Cricetulus griseus: one gene and its partner. The protein of the gene in region 1 purifies or fractionates together with the protein of each later gene. This does not show direct contact. Links are inferred from orthologs where the notes say so. Each region holds a gene or a part of one and is shown on either strand. Other genes may lie near its edges.

Evidence for each region.
Region 2: the proteins of Nfkbib (region 1) and Polr1e purify together in Homo sapiens (affinity purification with mass spectrometry; 3 studies listed by BioGRID and IntAct, counting the BioPlex papers as one, with this or other methods). This does not show direct contact. The link is inferred for Cricetulus griseus from reciprocal best matches to the Homo sapiens genes NFKBIB and POLR1E.

What each region holds. Positions count from the first base shown.
Region 1 is NC_048602.1:7,108,298-7,111,513, forward strand, and holds the end of Nfkbib (NF-kappa-B inhibitor beta), read left to right. Parts: coding exon 1-299; intron 300-1,382; coding exon 1,383-1,471; intron 1,472-1,554; coding exon 1,555-1,824; intron 1,825-2,549; coding exon 2,550-2,651; 3' UTR 2,652-2,716; downstream 2,717-3,216. Other genes in the region: Ccer2 (coiled-coil domain-containing glutamate-rich protein 2), read right to left, coding at 3,008-3,097. UniProt on the Homo sapiens protein: Inhibits NF-kappa-B by complexing with and trapping it in the cytoplasm.
Region 2 is NC_048595.1:98,430,422-98,434,506, reverse strand, and holds the start of Polr1e (DNA-directed RNA polymerase I subunit RPA49), read left to right. Parts: upstream 1-1,277; 5' UTR 1,278-1,326; coding exon 1,327-1,447; intron 1,448-1,900; coding exon 1,901-2,004; intron 2,005-2,556; coding exon 2,557-2,633; intron 2,634-3,553; coding exon 3,554-3,639; intron 3,640-4,085. UniProt on the Homo sapiens protein: Component of RNA polymerase I (Pol I), a DNA-dependent RNA polymerase which synthesizes ribosomal RNA precursors using the four ribonucleoside triphosphates as substrates.

The DNA of each region.
Region 1 (3,216 bases):
ATCCACGGTAGAGAAGTTGTATGCAGCTGGCGCCGGAGTGTTGGTGGCTGAGCGAGGGGGCCACACCGCTCTGCACTTGGCCTGCCGGGTGAGGGCACACACGTGCGCATGCGCGCTGCTCCAGCCCCGCCCCAGACGCCCAAGGGATGTCTCAGATACCTACCTCACTCAGAGCCAGGACAATACCACAGACACCGGCCCCACCCCTGTTGCTGTGAACCCTCAACCCAACCCAGAGATCGAAGAGGATCCGAGTGATGAAGACTGGAAGCTGCAGCTAGAAGCTGAAAACTATGAGGGTGAGGGCCCTGGGCCCTGGGAAGGACGAGAGCCCCTGGCCAGAGTCAGGGAAACAAACCACCTGCTCTTCTTACCCAACTTGAAACACAGCCGCTGGCATAGAGCCCTGGGTTTGATTCCCAGCATAACCTAGCATGGTGGTGCCCTTGGGAAGTGAAAGCAAGAGGATCAGGAGTTCAAGGTTGTCTTTGGTGCTTTGTAGTTTGAAGCCAATCTAGGTTCAGGAGACCCTGTCCCATCTCAGGGTATGGCCGTGTGCAGCTGTGATCCCAGCACTTGGGTGACAAAAGCCAGGAGCAGAAACATCATGAGATCATGTTAGATGCATAGTGAGCCCCTGTTTCAAAAAGAACCCCAAAGCAAAATCATCCCTAGGCTCCAGGAATCCCAGCACTGGGACTAAGGACCTCCACTCAGCCTGGGAGTGTGAAGAATTGGACAGACAGGGCTTCTCTTTCCCAGATCTGGTCATCAAACTACTTGCAGCCCAGACCTGCCACCCACAGAGCCAGAAATGCCAGGATACAGTGGTTGAGCCTAGGCTACCCATCTGCAAGGTGCCTTTGTTCCAGAACTGTTCCCAAGTATAAGCCACTAGCCCAGCCTGTCCAGGATGGGAGGACCCATCTCATGCTCCGAGCCATGGGCAGATGGTGCAGAGCTTACCCTCCTCAGTCAGGCCTCCTGGGAAAAGAACTAAGGTCATCTGGTAGCCAGTGTCCCAGGTCTTTTGTGCAACTCCTTTTGTTATTGTGCTTTGTTTTGTTTTGTTTTATTTATGATGCTGGGGATGGAATTTAAGAGCTGTTCATGCTCGTCAAGCCCCTGTTCTTTGTGAAGGAAGACCAAAGACTTGATCCTGTTGGTCCACAGACTATGTGCCCAGACTCATCCCTTGTAGATCCCAGATACTGTACCACTCAGGCTTACACCCACCAGCATGCTGACACCCAAGACTTAGGCATCTGGAATTCGGGAGCCAGCCCCCAAACCTGGTATCTTTAGCTCACGTGGCCTTTCCCTAGGGTTGTGACAGAGCTGAGGCGCCTTAGTTTATCTGACACTGGTTGCTCTGTCCCCAGGCCACACCCCACTCCATGTAGCTGTCATCCACAAAGATGCAGAGATGGTCCGGCTGCTCAGGGATGCTGGAGCTGACCTCAATAAACCGGTGAGCCACTGTGGTGGGCCAGTGTGTGAAGGCACCCTCCCGTCTTTGGTTGGTCTCCCTGACTGATCTGGCATATCCCACAGGAGCCCACGTGTGGCCGGACCCCTCTGCACCTGGCGGTAGAAGCCCAGGCAGCCAACGTACTGGAGCTTCTTCTGAAGGCTGGTGCTGACCCTACCGCCCGCATGTATGGGGGCCGCACCCCACTTGGCAGTGCTCTGCTCCGGCCCAATCCCATCCTTGCCCGCCTCCTCCGTGCACATGGAGCCCCTGAACCTGAGGATGAGGATGATAAGCTCGGCCCTTGCAGCAGCAGCAGCAGCGATAGTGACAGTGACGGCAGAGATGAGGGCGTGAGTGAGGAGTGGGCGTCCCCACGGGAGGGGTCAGGGCAAACCGTGGCGGATGCTCCCAGGGACTTAGACAAGGGACACGTGAGATGAGGAGAAACTTATAGACTTGGGCAAGGGTGGCGGTGGTGGCTGAAGAGCTAAGGCAATCTGTCCTGGTGGCACACACCATTAGTCTTGAATCTCAGTATTCAGGAGGCAGAGGCAGGTGGATGTCTGTGAGTTTAAGGCCAAAGAACAAAGACGAGCCAAGTTAGACTTCCTCCAGAGGTGGTCACGAACACAGGTAGGGAGGGTCTGAGCATCGGAGGTGACTTTGGGAGCAGGATTGCCGAACTTAGGCTGTAGGTAGGTGACCTTGGTCAGAGTGGCCAGAACACTGATGGTAGAGAAAGACCTCAGGCAGCGGTGCAGGGAGCATTACTGAAGAACCCAGACAACGGCACACCCCTGTGTAGGGGTTGGTATAGCATGAAGAGGGTTGAGGGTGGGTGAAGGCAGAGGGGAGACGGGAGAGAGCCACTGTAAGGCTGGACCACAGGGGTAATGGGGGAAGGTGGTCTTGAGAACCAGGACCTCCAGCGTGAGAGGAGGTGCACTGAGTGGGAACCATATCGGAGGGGCAAGGGGACACAGGCGTCAGAGGGAGACCCCATTAAGTGCCGTGCCCTGGGCAGTGGGCAAGGTGGCAGCTACCTGACCCCTGTGTTATCCCTCTCTGTCCCCAGGATGAATATGACGACATTGTGGTCCACAGTGGCAGGAGCCAAAACTGGCTACCTCCCTCCCCGGCACCCAAACCTCTTCCTGATGACTCCAACCCCGCCTGACTTAATTTCTAATATTAATATAATTTCCATTTAATAAAGCTTCAGACCTGAAGCCAGAGCCCAGACTGATAGTGCCTTCCTGCTTATTTCAGGTCCCATTCCTCCAAAGCTGTGTGAGCCGTGGGGTTTGCTTTGTGCTTTATTCACTCAGAGGGATGGAGGGGTGGGGTGGGGTAGGGTGGGGTGGGGTGGGGTCCTGAGTCGTCTGAACTCCACCCCTGCCCCATTCAGACTTCTCTCGGCCTTGGTTCCCAGGTGCACTCTTGCTTCCCAGTCCCTGCCAGATGGAATGGGGGCTCTGAGGTCAACAGCCCTGGGCCTTAGGGAGTATAGGAAAGGAGAAGAGTGGAGTGGGGTCAGCCTTCCCTCGCAAGTGCCTCCCCCAGCATGGCGGTGGCCTTCTTTAGCTGCTCCTCCATGTGCTCTAGCCGGTCCACACCGTCTTCCTGGGGGAGATCAGAAACATGGTTACCACCTTGGTGGCCACTGTGACTCCAACCTGCTGCTTCATACACTGGTGGCTTGAAGTCCCTTCCTAGCTGTCCGTCATGGTCAGTGATGGCTA
Region 2 (4,085 bases), on another chromosome or scaffold:
TCAAGCTTGATGGCAAGTGTCTTTATCCACTGAGCTATCTTGCCAGCATTCTCATTGAACATTTATTGAAAATCTCCATTTGCACAGGACCTCCCAGGAGTTGGAGGTGCAGAAGTTAAAGGAAAGAAATAAATGTACTGGCTGGCGTGGTACATGTCTATAATCTCAGCACCGGGCAGAAGGATGAGGAGTTGATAGTCACCCTCAGGTGGGAATTTGAAGACAGACTGAGCCTAAAGAGAATAAGGGACCTCAGCCCCTTTCCCCTTCATACTTGGCCACCAAATGAGCAGTTTTGTTTTACTACACACTACTTCTTGGGAACTAGCTAGCAACTAACTAACTATCTAACTAACTAAATAAATAATTTAAAATGAAATGTGTTTCTAATTAGCTCCAAAATTAGTTATTAAGTTCCAATAAGCTTAGTGTGGAAAAGACTGACAGAAGAAGCTGATGAATAATTAGAGAATGAAGCCCTCTTTCATCTCTTTCCTTTTCCTTTCTGAAAACAATCAATTGAAAACACTTGGGTAGGATCAAAGAAAGTAACCTTCCAGTCAGAGTTGTGACAGCTAAAAGCAAAGCATAGTGTGTGTGTGTGTGTGTGTGTGTGTCAGAGTTGTGACAGCTAAAAGCAAAGCATAGTGTGTGAGTGTGTGTGTGTGTGTGTGTGTGTGTGTGTGTGTGTGTGTGTGTGTGAATGTGCTTGTGGAGACCATGTGTGTTCAGGTGACAAGGAGGCCAGAAAAGGAAATAGGATCTCCAGTTACCTGAGCTGGAGCTGCCCTGCCTAACAAGATTGTTGGGAACTGAACCCGAGGGAGAGCAACAAGTGCTCTTAACCACTGAGCCATCTCTCCAGCCTCAGGGAACACGCCTATCCTGGCACTCGCTCTGGAGACCAGGCTGGCCTCAAACCCACAGAGCCTCCTGCCTCTGCCTCCCGAGTGCCTCCACCAACGCACGGCCTGAGTATTCTAAATTTCAACTTGGCCTTATCAGGTCTTGGAAAGGTGAGAAGAAAGACAGTCCTCTACCTAGATGATGATAAGTCAGAGGCAGCTCCACGCGAAACCGAGGCTGAAGACGCTGTGTTTCGGCGTTTGGCTAAACCTTAGGGCGTAAGCGGGAGCACTAAGCCAATCAGGTACTGCACCTCGAAGAGGCCCTCCTACCAGGGGCGTGGCCACCGCGGAAAGAGCCAAGAGTGGTCCGGGACGAAGCTCCACCACGCTAGAGGCGTGGTTTCGCGTTTTGCGTGTTCTGGGCAGGTCTCAGAGTGTCACTTCCGGTGTATGCGTCCGCGTGTGAGCCGGAGAGCTCATGGCTACACTGGAGTCTTCCGGGCTGGACAGCCAGAGTAGAGACATGGAGACAGAGGTGCAACAGAGTGCAAGGTGGCTGTACTGTGGGGAGCCTGACGACAGGCAGAAAGCTGTGCTGGGTAAAGACTGCGGGACCGGAGCGGAGTTTCGCTCAGCCCTATCCCCTTCTATCTGGGTACCGCGTAGCCCTCCTGCCCACTGCCTGGAGCTGGGACAGAGCCTCCGCTATCCTCCCTTTCCTCTGTCGTGACTTCACATGCGAGGACACTTCTCAGGGCAGTGCCCAGGACTTGGAGATTTCACCAGGTCTCTCATTCGCCCATTTTCCCCTCCACGGAGCAGAGTTCCCTTTCTTCTGCTAGTTAATGACATTCCCTCCGTCATTTTCTGCACAGAGGCCACCCCCTCCCCATCTCCTTTTTTTTAGTACTGGACCAGGACTTCCTTCAGTCTCCCTAAAAGTGGGACATGAGCTCTCTTGCCTTCGCCCTGGGTTCCCAACCACAGTGTAGTTCTAAGCCACCCCACTCTGCTGGTCTTGCCCTCATCTCATTCTTGGGTTACACTTACAGTCCAATTCTCCAATGGGAAGCTGCAGAATCCAGGCAACATGCGCTTCACCTTGTACAACAGCAACGACTTGGTAAACCCCAGGCTGAAGAATCAGCGGATCCTGGTAAGGGCTGCAGGTACAGGTAGTCTGGGCTCTGCAGGGCTCAGAAGGCCCTTGGTGTGGGCAGATATGGGAGGGCCTGAGGGGAGAAAAGGAGGAAAGCAAATGGGACTGTGGCTTCACCAAGGTGCAAGATTTTGGGTGAAACGATGACTTTTCACATATTTGGGAAAAAGGATTTCTCCGTGTAGCTCTAGCTATACTGGAACTCACTGAGTAGACATAGCTGGCTGACCTCCAATTCAGAGATCCGCCTGCCCCTGCCTCCACAGTGCTGGGATTAAGGGTGTGGGCCACCACCGCCCAGTTTGAAGCTTTTTAATTTCATGCAATCCCAGGTGGCGCCCCCCCCCAGAACTTTATCACTTTGAAGCTTCCTTATGGTATTTGGGGTCCCCCAGAGACACCCTAGATTCCTGTAGATATGATGGGGTAGGTCACCTGGAGAATATCTAGGGCTGGTCATTTTGGTCCTGGATTCTAAGACTTCTATACACGTCAAAAGGAGGCCATGCCCAGTGCTGATTGTAAATTGGACACTCCTTTGTTTTTCAGGCAGCAGAAACAGACAGGCTGTCCTATGTTGGAAACAATTTTGGGACTGGCGCCCTCAAATGCAACACTCTTTGCAGGTAATGGACAACTGGGCAGTGACAAAGGTGCTAGGAGGGTTGTAGTAGTGACAGAGACAACACTATCTTCAGTCTTCATTTTGGAGGTAGTTGAGATCTGCAGGTTTGCTAAGACTTTGTGTTTCTAGACTCACAAATTCCATATACTGTTGTGTAGACACCCTTAGAAAGGAAAAGATGGCTTGCGTTTGTCGAGTTCCTAAAGACCTCATTATGACATTATGTATGACTGTCCTATCCCAAAAGACAGCTATGTCTGCTGATTTAGAATGTGTGATCATCAGGTCAAAGCTTGCCTCAAGTTTGCCTTGGGACAAGAGGATTTTGTATCTTCAAGGCCTCTGGGTTGGAACAAAGCAGCCCTCCAGCACTGTCAGAGTGAATGACTTTGGCAACTTTGCTCTTCGCTCACCTCTGGTGTCTTCTGTGTCACAGCATCATCCAGCCTGAAGAATTTATGCATGCCAAAATTCTGTTTAATTTTAGATTCTTATTACCTCAAAAGGGTTTCCATTAACAGCAGTGGCTTTAAATTTGTTTTGTTTTGTTTTGTTTTGTTTTGTTTTCTGAGACAGGGTTTCTCTGTGGCTTTGGAGGCTGTCTGGAACTAGCTCTTGTAGACCTGGCTGGTCTCGAACTCAAGAGATCCTCCTGCCTCTGCCTCCCAAGTGCTGGGACTTTAAATGTGATTGGTTATCAGAACCATCTGGTGGCTTTTTCAGTCCACAACCATTTTATGTCTCCTTCCTCTTCATCACCTACTGTTTCCTCTCCGTGCAGGGATTATTGTTACATGTGAGCAAGTGGATGCCTTTTTCTGGCAGAAAGAAGCTAGGGATATGTGAATAGGAAAAAGAGAGGATTGTGTAAATAATAACCTTTTGGTTAAACTACTATTGTATCATTACTTTTTTCCTCAGACACTTTGTGGGAATTCTGAATAAGACCTCTGGGCAGATGGAAGTATATGATGCTGAGTTGTTCAACATGCAGCCACTGTTTGCTGGTAGGTTCCGGAAATGAATACTCTGTTAAATGAATATTCAGTTAAATACATCGTTTGGGTTTGTTGGATTAGTTCATTTTTGTTTTCTAGAAGGCATTTGTAATTTTTTTCTAAATGGCTTCCTCCACATATACCTTTTTGAGAGAAGGTCTCATGTAGACCCTTGAATTTTCTGGGTAGCTGAAGATGACGTTGGATTTCTGGTCCTCCTGCCATCAACTTGAGAGTGCTGTGTATGGTGAGAGGTTTATATGGTAAAGGGGTGTGAACTCAGAACTTGGTGTCTATTTGGCAAACACAGCTTATCCTCAACCATAATAGGATGCCTTCTTGCCGAGTGTTCTCATTTTTCTTTTTTCTTTTTAATTTGAAAAGGTATATGGATATATAACCTTTTGTGGGGCGGGGCGGGGGGGGGGGGGGGTTGAGACAGGATTTCTCTGTGT